3 linked regions of the Caenorhabditis elegans genome follow. The protein of the gene in region 3 purifies or fractionates together with the protein of the main gene of each other region. This does not show direct contact. Each region holds a gene or a part of one and is shown on either strand. Other genes may lie near its edges.

What was found. The genes of interacting proteins can lie anywhere in the genome.
Region 1: the proteins of T24H10.1 (region 3) and Y57G11C.43 fractionate together in Caenorhabditis elegans (co-fractionation; one large-scale study listed by BioGRID). This does not show direct contact.
Region 2: the proteins of T24H10.1 (region 3) and spt-5 fractionate together in Caenorhabditis elegans (co-fractionation; one large-scale study listed by BioGRID). This does not show direct contact.

What each region holds. Positions count from the first base shown.
Region 1 is NC_003282.8:14,767,499-14,771,310, reverse strand, and holds Y57G11C.43 (Protein KTI12 homolog), read right to left. Parts: upstream 1,871-3,812; 5' UTR 1,737-1,870; coding exon 1,652-1,736; intron 1,598-1,651; coding exon 1,201-1,597; intron 1,148-1,200; coding exon 1,042-1,147; intron 995-1,041; coding exon 674-994; 3' UTR 612-673; downstream 1-611. Other genes in the region: degl-1 (DEgenerin Like), read left to right, coding at 1-67, 123-201, 254-370, 436-534, 582-611; Y57G11C.3 (Putative 6-phosphogluconolactonase), read right to left, coding at 2,248-3,021, 3,075-3,110; mrps-7 (Small ribosomal subunit protein uS7m), read left to right, coding at 3,586-3,699, 3,745-3,812.
Region 2 is NC_003282.8:12,049,756-12,056,337, forward strand, and holds spt-5 (Transcription elongation factor SPT5), read left to right. Parts: upstream 1-1,735; 5' UTR 1,736-1,741; coding exon 1,742-1,789; intron 1,790-1,918; coding exon 1,919-2,002; intron 2,003-2,051; coding exon 2,052-2,561; intron 2,562-2,610; coding exon 2,611-3,193; intron 3,194-3,239; coding exon 3,240-4,892; intron 4,893-4,943; coding exon 4,944-5,336; intron 5,337-5,391; coding exon 5,392-5,597; intron 5,598-5,645; coding exon 5,646-5,795; 3' UTR 5,796-5,991; downstream 5,992-6,582. Other genes in the region: T12G3.4 (Strictosidine synthase conserved region domain-containing protein), read left to right, coding at 1-104; Beta-1,3-galactosyltransferase bre-5, read right to left, coding at 177-485, 539-736, 781-969, 1,020-1,166, 1,219-1,315, 1,413-1,441; K08E4.2 (Glycolipid transfer protein domain-containing protein), read right to left, coding at 6,099-6,414, 6,463-6,561.
Region 3 is NC_003280.10:9,097,382-9,101,069, forward strand, and holds T24H10.1 (Putative transcription elongation factor S-II), read left to right. Parts: upstream 1-1,989; 5' UTR 1,990-1,996; coding exon 1,997-2,134; intron 2,135-2,186; coding exon 2,187-2,273; intron 2,274-2,325; coding exon 2,326-2,655; intron 2,656-2,702; coding exon 2,703-3,074; 3' UTR 3,075-3,188; downstream 3,189-3,688. Other genes in the region: clh-5 (Chloride channel protein), read right to left, coding at 1-503, 654-792, 866-1,055, 1,117-1,216. UniProt on the Caenorhabditis elegans protein: Necessary for efficient RNA polymerase II transcription elongation past template-encoded arresting sites.

The sequences.
Region 1 (3,812 bases), on a different chromosome or scaffold from region 3:
AAGAAATCATTAAAGACATTGAAAATGATCAATGGAAAGATAAACCAGTCGATGAAACGAGATGGTCGTAAGATAAAAAAAACTCTAAATTTCTAGCTTTTTCCATAGATTTTCGGATTCAGAAAAACAAAAAGTGCTGTACACGAGTGGGGATTGTCTTGTTCGTGGCATGGAATCCCTCACATGGCTCAATCTCTTTCAGTAAGTAATAGGTTCAAATATTTCTTCAAATTCAGAGATTCCATGATTCCAGTGGCCAACGATCCTTCTCTGGACAACCTTGCTCATTATCAGCGCCGTTTTGTTCGTCTACCTTATCACCGTCACCGTTCGCCAATACTTTTCGTTTCAAAAATTGGTGAATCTGAATGTAAATTTCTTAAATCGCTTTTTTTTTTAAATCTTTATTATTTTATTGAAGCCAAAGAATTGTAGATTGGAATGGTAGAGTCGAACTTCCCATCAATCACATTCTGTAATACAAATCCATATAAATTGAGTGCAGTTCGAGCGATTCCTGAGCTGGAAGCCTTGGTAATTAAATTTACAAAATTTAAAATGAATCGGAATTTTGTTTTCAGCTCACCGTCTACTCACAAGCCTATACATGATAAAACTTTGGATTTTTATTTTTCTGCATTTTCAAATAAAGTCATAACAAACAACAAAACAATCATCTCAAATTGCAATTCAAAAAATCGACAAATCCCGTGATAATCTTCTCCTTATCAGTTGTCGGATCCTTCTTCGACATGTTCACAAATTGGTGTCGCAGTCGATTCAGCTCAGGCAGCGTTCTCAATTTCATAAACTTTATCGTATTGGCTCCGTCTGTTGCTCCAGGAATCGTCAGGTTTTGACCGCGAACTGCAGTTCTTTGAGCATTTAAAAGCACTGTAACAACGTCTTGTGTGGATCGATCCAGCTCGTGAAGAAAATTTGTCGGCGCCAGTGGGACTGTCTGTGTTGATTGGTTTTCTGTGAGCTCTGTTCCCTGGAAAACTAATTATTTTTCTATTCGATAATTTAGGATTCACTTACATTACAAATCCATTCAACAATTTCATCTTCAAAAATGCTCGCAAATCTCGGAGCAGGATGCTCCAAGTCTATCGCCATATCCTCATCGAAGTCTACAGGCGTGGCTCTGGAATAGGAAACAATTATTATTTTTTTTTCCAATTAATTTTCCAATCTCACTTCTCAGCAGTACCAATTTTAACCTCAAACAATGGTTTTTCCCATCTCAACTTCGTATCCGGCCTTTCATATCTCATCATCAACTGATCGATAATCTCCTTCGGATATCTCTCCACTTCAGGCTTCTGCTCATTGAGCCAGTGACACGTGGCGACGGGAGGCGAGCACTCGACGACACAATACGTGGTTTTGCTCATCTTAGCGGCTAAGAATAATTCATATCGATATCCTTTGATATAATTCAAAGCATCACATATTATAACTTTATTCTTCGTTAGATTCTGTTGAACTTGAGATCGAATCCAAGATCGGAGATCCTTCTCTTTATTCGAAAATTCGTAGTTTTTTCGATCAAATCCTCCGTAATCTTCGTCCCGTATTATCAAATAGTCTTTGCCTGGAATGATGGGAATTTTAAGAAATTTTAAAGCAGAAAATACACAATTTTTACCTTTTTCCTCGAATTTCTTCGCTAATCTATCAACAACTGTAGATTTTCCAGACGATGGATGACCGGTAACAATGATAAGAGGCATAAATATCTAGAATAATCCTTATATTTCAGTAATTTTGACATATTTCAATCCATGAATTTTGCAAAAAACAACGTCGCACAGAAATAGAGGCGGGGCGTAATTTTGCAACCTTGCGGCACGATTTTTTACTCTATAAGAGATTGAAATTGGATCGCATTTTCATTCGAAAAAGAGAATAAAACGAGCAAATTCCCCGATCGATCCTGTAGTTTTTTGAAGTTCCGCATCTAAAAAAAGTAATTCACGGTAATGAACCGTTTACAATATTTTAGAAAATTGAATTTCATAAATTCAAAAATTGCAATTTTATTTTACAGTTGGAGGAAATCCGGAAACAATTTAAAACTTTCACGACGATTTGAATTTTTTTTTGTGGTTTTTTGTTTCTCTTTGATGATGGCCATAATTAAAGGAATAAGGAGGAATGCGACTTAATGAAAAAAATAAGAGAAAATTACAGAGAAAAAAAAAAGAAATTAGGTATATATTTTAATATCACACAAGATGCTGCTCATCCGTCAAACGGTGGAGGAGAGTCAGAATCCGACGAATCTCTATCCGGTACACCAGTTGCTGCGTCTTCATCGAGGAATAGTGTCAATTTGTCGTTGAATGGACGTGCTTGAGCGGCCGGATACTTTTGATCACGATCACAAATTCCTCGTACAATTTCCGCTTTTTGTTTCCCGCAAATGATGAAAGCAACGTTTTTGGCGTGTTGAAGAGTTTGCAAAGTAAGTGTGATACGAGATGGTGGAGGTTTCGGGGAGTCTGTGATGACGGAAACCCAATTTAGCTCGGTAATCTTCTCCAGCCGCTCCTTTCCAGGGAAGATACTTGCAGTGTGACCATCTGGACCAACTCCAAGGAAAAGAATATCGAAACGAGCAGTATTGTTGAGCTGCTCCGGGAGCAAGTATTTACGAAGACTGATTTCATAGTGTTGGGCGGTGAGGCAGGGATCCTTGAAAATTTGCATGGGCACAAAAACGTCTCTGAGCTCATTCGGGAATAATCTCAAATATTCTCCCTGATTACTTTCCTCGCTATCCAGATCAACGTTACGCTCATCAACCATAAAAATTCGAATCCTCTTCCAATTCAGCTGCTCTTGTGGCAAAGAGAGAATAGCTTTCGAAAAGACTCGTGGCATCGATCCACCGGAAACTCCAATACTGACTGTACCATTTTGATCTAGAAGATAGGTGAGCTTTTCCTCGAGATAACGACGCAGCTGAAGGATGAGCTCCTTTTCGTCGCCAGAAACGTTGAGCGCCGGCTTCATCTGAAAATAATTTTGTTTTATAAAGAATAAATACATTTGAAACGAGATTTTACATTGCTATTCGATACGAATTCGTTAACGAGACACATTGATATTCTCCACGGAATGAGCGGGGGCTGAGTGAGCGGAAATACTGAAAAAGAAGCAAGAAATAAAATCGTTTATGACATGAAAAGGATTTCTCTTCACGAAATAAACCAGGTTTATTTTAAAAGCTAAAGGAAGGTGTCATAAATAAGAAAAAGGAATTTTAATTTATTTAAACTGTATTATTATTATTCAGAAAAAAGCCGATGAAAACAGGAAAAAAACAAAAAGTGATAAATGTCTAGCAACAATACTCCGAAATGCATGCGCGCCCAGTTTATTGAGACGATAGACTATGCAAAAAGACGAGACGCAGAGTATGCAAGCATGCTCCACTGCACTCTTGTGTCGAAATACGAGCGAGTCCACGGATTTTCCATTGATTTCCGAGTTTTCTTCGCATATTTTTGCAGTTTTCAAAGCTTCATGATTTGCAATTTAATTATCAAATACTTAATATTGTTATTTGTAGTAAATATGACCACAAAACTGGCGCGATTCGCTCAAAAACGATGGATTTCTTCGACGACTTCCACATCAAATATGTACGATCCAAGAGTATTCAGAGATCCCGTAACGAATGTTCAAGAGGTTAATTTGTTTGTTTTAATCTATAAATCTTAACTATTATTTTAGCTCCGAAAACCATTGGATTCGGATGATGAGCGCAACTTTTTGTTCCTCAAAGCGATGAAAAGTGATGC
Region 2 (6,582 bases), on a different chromosome or scaffold from region 3:
AAACAGGACGAGTTGAAGCCGTCTCAATTGCGATTGACGATGGAAAAGGAAGAATGCTTCTGGGAAGTGATGTTAACTATTATATTGCTCGAGCTAAACTTTGAATATTTAATTTTTATTTCTTACGATCTCTATTGATATGTTGAAAATTATATGAAAAAAATTCAAAATACAATTTATTCGAACCCGTTTAACTGGCTATACTCGTATTCAAGATCTTTCCTGGCATATCCATGAACTGCAATTACACCATCATCCCATTCTTTTTGAGACACTCGTCGACACCAGAAGATGAAGTTCTCATTATGAGTTGCTGCGACATTCACTGTTTTGGCGAGAATACCCGTAAAGACATCATCGAATGGAAACATTTTCAGTTTTCTAATTGAATTTCTGAATCGCGCAATGGTTTCGGAAGTGAGGAAGACAGCGCCAGCGGAGACGTATGGAGGATATCGTGAAAATGGATACTCATTCAGCGAAATCTGTAACTTGTAATAATTTGGAAATAGGTTTTTTTTTTACTTGAAGCACTTACGCTGTGTTTGTGGATCTTAAGCCTGAATGGTGACGTGTCAAATACGAAGCCTTCGTAAACAAGTTCCTCTTTTTGTTTAGTTTTTGCGAATTTTACAAGATTTGGGATATGTACCAAATAATCGTCATCTACCAGAAAGGTAAAGTCTGGAGAAGAGCATTGATTTGGATTCGCAGCGTAGTCAATGGCGCCAAACAACTGAAATTAGGTTTTTATTGAGAAAAGTGTTCAAGAAAACAAACTTTTAAGGTATTGTTCCGATATGAATCTATGTCTGATATTGCAAGAATATCCTTATACTTCTCCGATTCTACATCAATTCTTCTCATTATCTCCATATTTTCCACTCTTCCCACAATGAAGATTGGCATAACTTCGACTCCATCAATCATTCGAAACACTCCCCACGTCTTTCTTACTGACTCTCGCATCTGAATATTGTTTTTTTTAAATAGAAATTTGATTTTCTGCAAATACTAACCGGTCCATTTTTCGCACTTGACTTGATTATAATAATAATAATCTTTTGTCCATTGCCAGAAAATTTGCACTGTGGATATTTTGTAAACTTGCTTCGCAATTGTAAATTACGCGTTTCCAGTGGCCAACTGAAGTCACCAAAACTCGTCTGAAAAATATAATCATTATGTTTAAATAATTTTTTCTGGCGTATAAAGTACCTCTCTAAACTTATCCACAACTCCAAGTACCCATAGAAGAAAAATCGTAATCGTGAAAATTAAAAGCTTTTGAAACGAAGAAAGTTCATGATATTTTCTGAAATGAAATTAAATATTTATGCGAAATTGAAGAGCAAAGCAATACTTCTTAAAGCTTTGAGATTTTTCAAGCGTATCCACAGAGAATTTCCTACCTTTTCAAAATCCGCACGCATAAAAACATTAAAATGTTAAATAAATATATATTTAATGCGCGGCAAGTTGTGGGTTTTGGACGTGAACACCAGATTGCGTACCGGGCATCGGAACCGACGACAATTTATTTCTTCTTCATTTTCTTCTTCTTTTTTGCGCTTAATTTCTTCTAATCATTTATACCTATAAAGTTAATCATTTTTTCAATTGATTGATTTACTTCTTGCCTAATTTTCTGAATTTTTAAGCGTTGTCCTAAATCACACGCGTTCCTCCTCATTTCTCTGCCCCAAGTTATTTGAAATTTACTTAAATGTTTCAGTTAGCAATGTCCTCTGACGAAAGTGATGCAGCCTCAAACAAAGAAGAAGACACGGTTAGTTATCGATTTTTCACTCTATGATTTGAGATTCGATCGATTTCGCCGAAAATAACAAATAAGCTTTCATGGAAAATTCACAAATTATGCGACTTTACTTATTTATCGATTTTTATCCTCTTACAGACTTTGAGCGATGATGATGGCTCAGATGTTGAAATCAAAAATTCAAAGAAGGACAGAAAGCGGAAACTTGCTTCAGAGAGTGAGGTGAGTGAAAACAATTAATTTTAAAGTTACAATCCTGTCGGTTTTTCAGAAAAGTGGCTCGGACGATGATGATGACGACGATGACGATGAAGATGAAAACGTGACCAGCAAGAAATCTAAAAAGCAGAAACGGAAGAATAAGGCTCCTTCTGGACGAGATTTTCTTGCTTGGGATGTTGAAGTCGACGACGAAGACGAAGACGACGACAATGATTACGATGACGAAGACGATCCAAGCATGAATGCAATGAACGAGCGAGAGGAAGCTGAGCGTGCGATGAAAGAAATGGAATTGAGTCAACGGAATAGAGATCGGTACAAGTTCCAAAACATGACGGAAGACGAAGTCCAGAAATACTTTGAGAACAAGTACAAGGGTGACAAAAACGACAGTCAATATGATGACGAAGATTCAGCTATGGATGATATTTCAAAAAATTCTCATCTTCCATCCACGAAGGATCCTAACCTGTGGATTGTCAAATGTCGCATGGGAGAGGAAAAACTCGTAGCGATGCATCTGATGCGTAAATGTCTTGCGGTTGAGCACACAAACGAGGTAATTGATAAATGTCCCGTAATAATGATTGCATTTAATCAATTTATAGCCATTCCAAATCAAATCAGTTGTCGTCAAGGAAGGACTCAAAGGAATGATCTATATCGAGGCGTTCAAACAATCTCACGTCATGTCTGCAATTGAAGGATTTTCAGCTCTCAATCAATTCACTATAACCATGGTTCCCATCAAAGATATGGTAGATGTATTGAGAGTTGTCAAAGACATTCCACAGTTGAAACTCGGATCATATGTTCGTTTGAAAAGAACAATGTACAAAGATGATCTGGCTGTCGTTGATCTTGTGGATATCGCTCAGAACCGTGTCAACCTGAAATTGATTCCCCGTGTCGATTATCAGAAGCGGCGCGGAGCAATGAGAACTGATGCTGATAAAAACTATAAGCTGAAAAGACGCCCAATGCCCAAGTTATTTGATCAGGATACCATCAAAGAAGTTGGAGGAGAAATTGTGACGGACGGAGACTTCTTAGTATTTGAAGGAAATCATTTCCGGCGAGGATTCCTCTACAAGTACTTCCCCATAAACGCAATTCAAGCTGATGGTGTTAAACCAACTCTTGGAGAACTCGAAAAGTTCCAAGAATCTAGCGATGATCTCAAGAGAGAATGTAAGTTTTTATTCCTTTATTCTTTTTTAAAAATACTTTTTTTCAGTGGAAACGGCTTCTCTCAAAGACACAGAAAATCCATTTGTTCCTGGAGATATCGTCGAAGTGAAAGCTGGAGAGTTGGTGAATCTTCGGGGTAAAGTGATGACGGTCGATGGGACGAAGGTTGTGATGATGCCAGATCAAGAAGATTTGAAAGAAGCAATCACTTTGAACGCTCATGAGCTCAGGAAATACTTCAAGGAAGGAGATCATGCAAAGGTTATTAGTGGACGATACGAAGGACATACTGGATTAATTGTCCGAGTAAAAGATAGCACAGCCATAGTTTTGTCTGATCTTGGAATGGAAGAATTGAAAGTTCGTGTACGAGATTTGCAACTTTGTGCTGATGTGACAACTGGAGTGGACTCACTGGGACAGTTCCAATATCATGATCTTGTACAGCTCGACCATACAGGAAATGTTGGAGTAATTGTTCGATTGGAGAAGGAACATTTGGAAGTTCTCAACATGCACGGAGTTGTGAATCGTATAAAGCCACAAGCTATTATAGCGAAAAAAGACGTTCGATTTGCGAAAGTTCTCGACAGTCAAAACAATTCCATCGAGGCTAAAGATCTGGTAAAAGTAATTGGAGGACCAAACGCAAAGGAGCGGGAAACCGATGAGGATCCAGTTGGAGAAGTTCTCTATGCGTTCCGTGGAACTGTCTTCGTTTATTCTCGCAAAGTGACTAAAAATGGAGGAGTCTTGGTTTGCAAACCAAAACAACTGATTTTACAAGGAGCTAAGAAAACAACCAGTACACCGATGGTTTCTCGAATGGCTTCACCGAATCCTATGGCATCACCAAGACATTCTTCTGGAGGAATGACTCCTCGTTCTCCACAAGATGGTATGTCAAGTCGTGGAAGCAGTGGTGGACAAACTCCGAGACAAGGTGGAGGAGGAGGACGTGGTGGTCATTTTGGAACTGCAAATCAACAAAAAGTTCGTCGTGATCTTACCCTCATTGGAAAAAATGTTCGAATCATCAAAGGTCCGATGAAGGGCCACTTTGGAATTGTTCGAGATGCCACAGAAGACACAGTTCGTGTCGAATTGCATACACAATGCAGAACGATTTCTGTCGATCGTGCTCGTGTGATGGTTGTCGGAGACACTGGAATAACAGCTGGAAGTGGAGGTGGAAGCTCGTTCTACAGTTCTTCGAAGACACCGATGCGCGACTCTGGCAAAACTCCAATGTATGGATCGAAGACTCCGATGTATGGAGCACAAACACCGATGTATGGCTCGATGACTCCAGCTTATGATGGAGGAAGAACACCGGCGTATGGAGAAGGTGGACGTACCCCTGCATATGGAAGCAAAACTCCAGCATATGGAGATCTTGATGAACATTCATCATCACGTACTCCAGCCTATGGAAATGACAGTTCAAGAACTCCTGCTTACGGTAGTGCTGATGGTGCACGAACTCCTGCCTATGGAAGTACGGAAGGTGGACGGACTCCAGCATACGGATCAATGGACAACAGTAGAACTCCTGCATATGATGATTCTGGAAGAACGCCTGGCTATGAAAGTATGCCATCGAGAACTCCGAACTATGATTCAAGCAGTAAGACTCCAGCCTATCCAGAATCCGAACATTCCGCCAGAACTCCAGCATACAATAATGATTATGATATTCGTGAGTTGAACCATTACATATCTTTGCAATTTTTAATTTTTAATTGTTTAGCGTTGAGTCCGGCATACGAGCCCGATGCACCTGAAGCGTATGACAATGCTCCAGCAAGAACTCCAGCATTCGTGTCCCGTACTCCAGGATACGACACATATGAGAACAGCAGCCCGACATACGAACCAGATGCAGCTACAAAAGTTGAGGAAGACATCGGAGACACTTCGTCTCCAACTTATGATTCTCCTCCACACTCGTACGTTGTGCCAACTCCAGGTGCAATGCTCAATCCAGCAACTCCGGGAGCCTATCACGTTGATACACCTGGATTCGCTGCTCCAATGACGCCAGGAAGTGGAGGAGCATACGATCAATATGTTGCGCCTTCTCCATTCGCTGGCTACGACAGTAACAACTACAACAATGCCGATGGAGCTATTGAGCAAATTCGTAAGTTGCTCAAGATTTTATTTGAATTATAGTGAAGCTAATTTCTTATTTTTAGCGGACCACTTCCTGGCTCAAGGTGTGTGGATTGTGCAGAATCTGTGTGTGCAAATCAAGGACCACGAAGGGCGATTCAACGGACGTGAGGCGATCATTAAAGATGTTACCGATGGAAAAGTGGATGTCTACATGCCAGATCACAAGTGCAACTTGGAAGTTGATTTCGATCAGCTAACTCCAATGAAACCGCAACCAGGAGATGATGTAAGAAAATATTAAATTGAAAATGCTAAATGAAATGTTAACTTTAAGGCTCGAGTGATTTTCGGACAAGATGCAGGTCACAGTGGACAACTTGTTTCCATGGATGGATTCGAAGCAGTTATCCGATCACAGGAAGACATGTCAGACATGCGAGTCATCAACATTGGATTGTGCTGCAAAATGCATAGCGAAACTTGAAAAGTTGTTCACTTTACTATTTATTCTCCAATTTTTCTTCGCTTTTTTCTGTTCAAATGTTATTCGACACTCGACGAGTTTCACTTCGTTGTGTCTATTTTTTGGTGTCACCCTTTGAAAATCGTTCATTTATTTATTTATTATACACTGTTTTATTTGAATTAAACATTTCTTAAAATGATTGCTGCTTTTCTTTTTCAAAAACAAATACACTTGTTGTACAACCAAGAGATATAATGAAAAGTTTAATTTCAGAGAACATATTTTTTGTGAGATCAAGAATGAAGAGGGTAGTAAAGAGATTCAGGCTGAAGGATTATAATCAGTTAGTTCGAAATTTTCAACTAGTTTGTTCACTCTTCGCACAATATCTCGTCCGTCTCGATTGAAAATATCATGGAATTGATTATCATCGTCCTCTGGCATATCACCACGAAGTCTACATAGAAATTCTGGTTTTCGAGGCAAAGTGTAGAGAGCCGCAGCGACAGCAGTTCTGATTGGCCAAGAATGAAGTTGAGAAAGATGTTTGTCATAAGAAGAACGAGCGATTGTCGATACATTTTCATCATTCGACGTGAACACTCCATCCAGCAAATCGATGACGAATTCAAGAGCTCTGAAATGATGAACTCATTGATTTTCTCTTCTACGAATCCACGAATACCTGTTAAGAACCATCAAATGTCCAGTGCCGCTTCTATTTGGTTTCTGATTTCGAATAGTTCCATTCTCCGACTCCTTCGTTGCCATTCCGATGATAGTTCTGAAAATCAGGAATTGAAAA
Region 3 (3,688 bases):
GCAACACTGACTCCAGCTGCAGCAGATGCTGACAGAATTTCACGTTTTTTTGCTTCATTAAGACCATATTTAGGGAATAAATATGAGAAAATATTTCCAATGCAACAAGCCAAGTGGACCATTGGACCTTCTTTTCCAAGAGACAAACCAGAAGCTGACGATAGAATAAGTCCTACAGATTTGATGATAAATGTCCATTTTCCAAGATATCCACGAATCACGAATCCAGATAAAATGCATTTGATTTCTGGAATTCCAGATCCACAGGCGTAGGGAGCGAATATTTTAACGAAAAGAACGGCAAGAGTCGACATTGCAACAGCCCATCCAATATAAAATATCCATTCGAGAAATAAGAAGAGAAAACTGGATGAGTTGTAGTAATTCAGCATCCATGGCCATTTCGTCCATGCTTTACAATCATCATCCTTATAAAATGTATCATTTGATGACCAACAACAGTGTTCGTGATCCAACCAGAAACGATCCGCACACACTCCTGTCTGAAATTTTAATTTGACACTTGGATGGATTTTTGAAAACAGTTTTTATACCAAAAATTAAAAAAAAATTTATACATGTTAAAATCAATTTGAAGCTTGTTCATAGCTCAAAAATTGAATTTAGATTTTCACTTCAGATAAATAAATAACCTTTAGATCACTCATCCATCGAGCTCCAATATCGATGATTCCAGCAGTTGCACCAGCAGCCAGTCCAACAAAAAGAACGCATATCCATCCTGCTCCGGCATCCCATCCCGATTGTAGAAGCCCAAGGGGGAAATCCACTCTGAAAATATTATTTGTTGCAGGTCATAAATTCATTTAGCTTTGCATTATTTTAATGGGGGAACCCAACTAACTTTTTCTTAGATATCATTTTATGCCGTAACCGATCTCTGGCTAAATCTCTTTGCCAATCAATTGTATGAAAATCTCCATATTTACTGAAAAACGGCGGAGCCATGACGTCTGGAAGATCGTCGTCTGTTTTGAATCTGACGTCATCAATAGCACCAAATGGGTTAAAATCACTTGAAGAGCTGCCGCCACCTGAATGAAAAGTGTTCGTTAAGAAAATTTTCTATGGGAAAATTGATATTGTTTCGATCACCTGCAGTCATATCAAGGTGTATTGTAGCAGAAGTTCCACTTGGTTCCAACTCGACATCATCTGTTGAACCAAGGGTCGACGACCGACCTGCTCGTTCCATTTTCGGCTGGAATAAAAGAACAATTATTTGTTAAGATAGAAAAGGAAATATTTGAAAACAAAAATTTGTGGTTTAACATCAAGAGCTATTTTGATACCGCACAGAAGGGTAGCTGGAGTCAAATGAATAAAATGGGAATTTCACATTCTGCAACTAAAAAAGTCCCAAGAATCAATATGGGATTAATATAATCTCATAGAAATATTAATTATGATTTTAAATGGAGATGCGATAAATGGAGATGGCCAAAAAGTTAACTGAAAATTAAAAAAAAAAGAGAAAATTGATCAATGATTGTAACTTTAACTGACTGATAATTCAGGCTGTTGACTATAAACATAGCATGAAATCTCAAATACTTAACTAATAAATGTCAACATTCAGTTCGACTGGACACAATGTTAGTGCCGTGATATTTTACGAGCTCCAAAATCTAAGGGATTATTATATTTGAAACTAACAGATGAATTATATCATGAATAACATTATTTTTGAGCATATTGAGAATAAAAAGAGAAGAATCTTTCTGAAAATCGCCAAATCATCGTAACTTTCCCAGAATCCGAGACAGGTCAGGAGAGGCGCACGAGAAATGCGCCAGGTGCCTTTGCTGACGCGTTATTCGGATTATTGACGCGTTTCTTCAAATGTACCAATTTCGTTTTCAGTCAATATTCACAGATATTTGTGTTTTTTGCGCGTCCACATCTTTTCTCTCTTTATAATCCACTACATAATTAATACTCTCCGTCATTCTTTACCTTTTGTCTTGCAGCAGCTATGTCCGCTCTCGAGGAAACACAATCGTTGTGCAAGCAAGTTGACGATATTTGCAATAATGGAATGGAATCCGTCGAACAATGCAATAAGCTGCTCGACCAGTTGTCGAAAATTCCAATGAGCATCGAAATAATCCAGGTGAGTTCTACTTTAATTTTGTCCATCAAGTAATAATAAAATTGTTTTCCAGAAAACCAACATTGGAATAAAAGTGAATATGATGCGGAAAAAAGTCACAGATGATGCTGTTGCAAAGCGGGCTAAGAACATCATTAAGGTACTTTTTTTCATAAATGAAATGTAGCTACTTCCAATTATTTTTTTTCTAGGATTGGAAGAATGTAGTTGATGGAAAGAGCAAGTCACAGGATGATGGTGGTGCTCCACCTGCGAAGAAGCACAGAAAGGAAAGTGTTGAAGAGGCAAAACCAGAGAAAAAGAAGATCGAGGCTCCATATAAGCGGCCAGAACCATCTAGTCGGCCAGAAATAGTTGCTCAATTTGCCAGTGCATCTTTCCCACCGAAACATCTTGAAAATGACGAGACCCGTCTTAAATCTGCACAACTTCTACTTTCGGCACTTCGGTTTGGAGACATGCCACAAGGAACACTCGATCCAGAGGAGTTAGCTGTCCAAATTGAAGAGAAACTCTATTCGGTATGGTTTATCCTGAAAGTGAAACATTTTTAACTTTTTGATTATAGGTTCACCGTGATACAAACAAGAGTTACTCAGCAGCTGTTCGTAGTCGCATTTTCAATCTTCGTGATAAAAAGAACCTTGCTCTACGTGAAAATGTTCTCACTGGTGTCGTCCGTGCTGAAAAGTTTGCAACCATGACCAGCGAAGAAATGGCATCCGCTGAAATCCGGGAGATGCGTGATAAATTCACGAAGGAAGCTATCCTAGAACATCAAATGAGCGTCCAGCAAGGAACTCCATCAGACATGTTCAAGTGCGGAAAATGTGGAAAGAAGAATTGCACCTATACTCAGCTTCAAACTCGTTCTTCCGACGAACCGATGACAACATTTGTCTTCTGTCTCGAGTGCGGAAATCGCTGGAAGTTTTGCTGATTTTTTGAGATTCTTTCTTCTAAATTGTCTTCACGTGGTAGTTTTGCCAGATACCCCATACACACTCTTCCACGGATACTCAAATATGATTGTTATAAGTTTTCTGGCTTGTGTAATAATTAACTGATAATTTATTTGTTAATCTTCACTCTCCTCCACCCCCCCCCCCCCATATCCACTGAAAAGTGGTAAATTTGTTTGTTGATTTTATATAAACTTGTATTGCATATAAAATATTTTTCACTTTCGATAATGCCAATAGTTACTACGAGAGCTGTTTCAGCGAGCTGATAAATGAGCTGTTTAACATGATGGAAATAGCAGGACGAAAAGAATATTGGTAATTGATACGGTAGCGGTGCATTATCAAATAAAAAGGATAAAACTAAACGTGTCGACCTTAATAACCGCGTGTAAGTAAACGTGGTTTGGTTTTAAGGGGAGAAATTAATACATCCTTTCTTTTCTTTCTCTAAATTCTCTTCTTCTATCAAAGCTAAATATCTTCTTTATTTTGGTAAGTAGACGCCAGAAGCCAATTTGTGCACTTTTAAAATTTGATGGTGAGGTGGAGTCACGTTGGTGTAATGGAAAATGTGAATGGAAAGAAACGA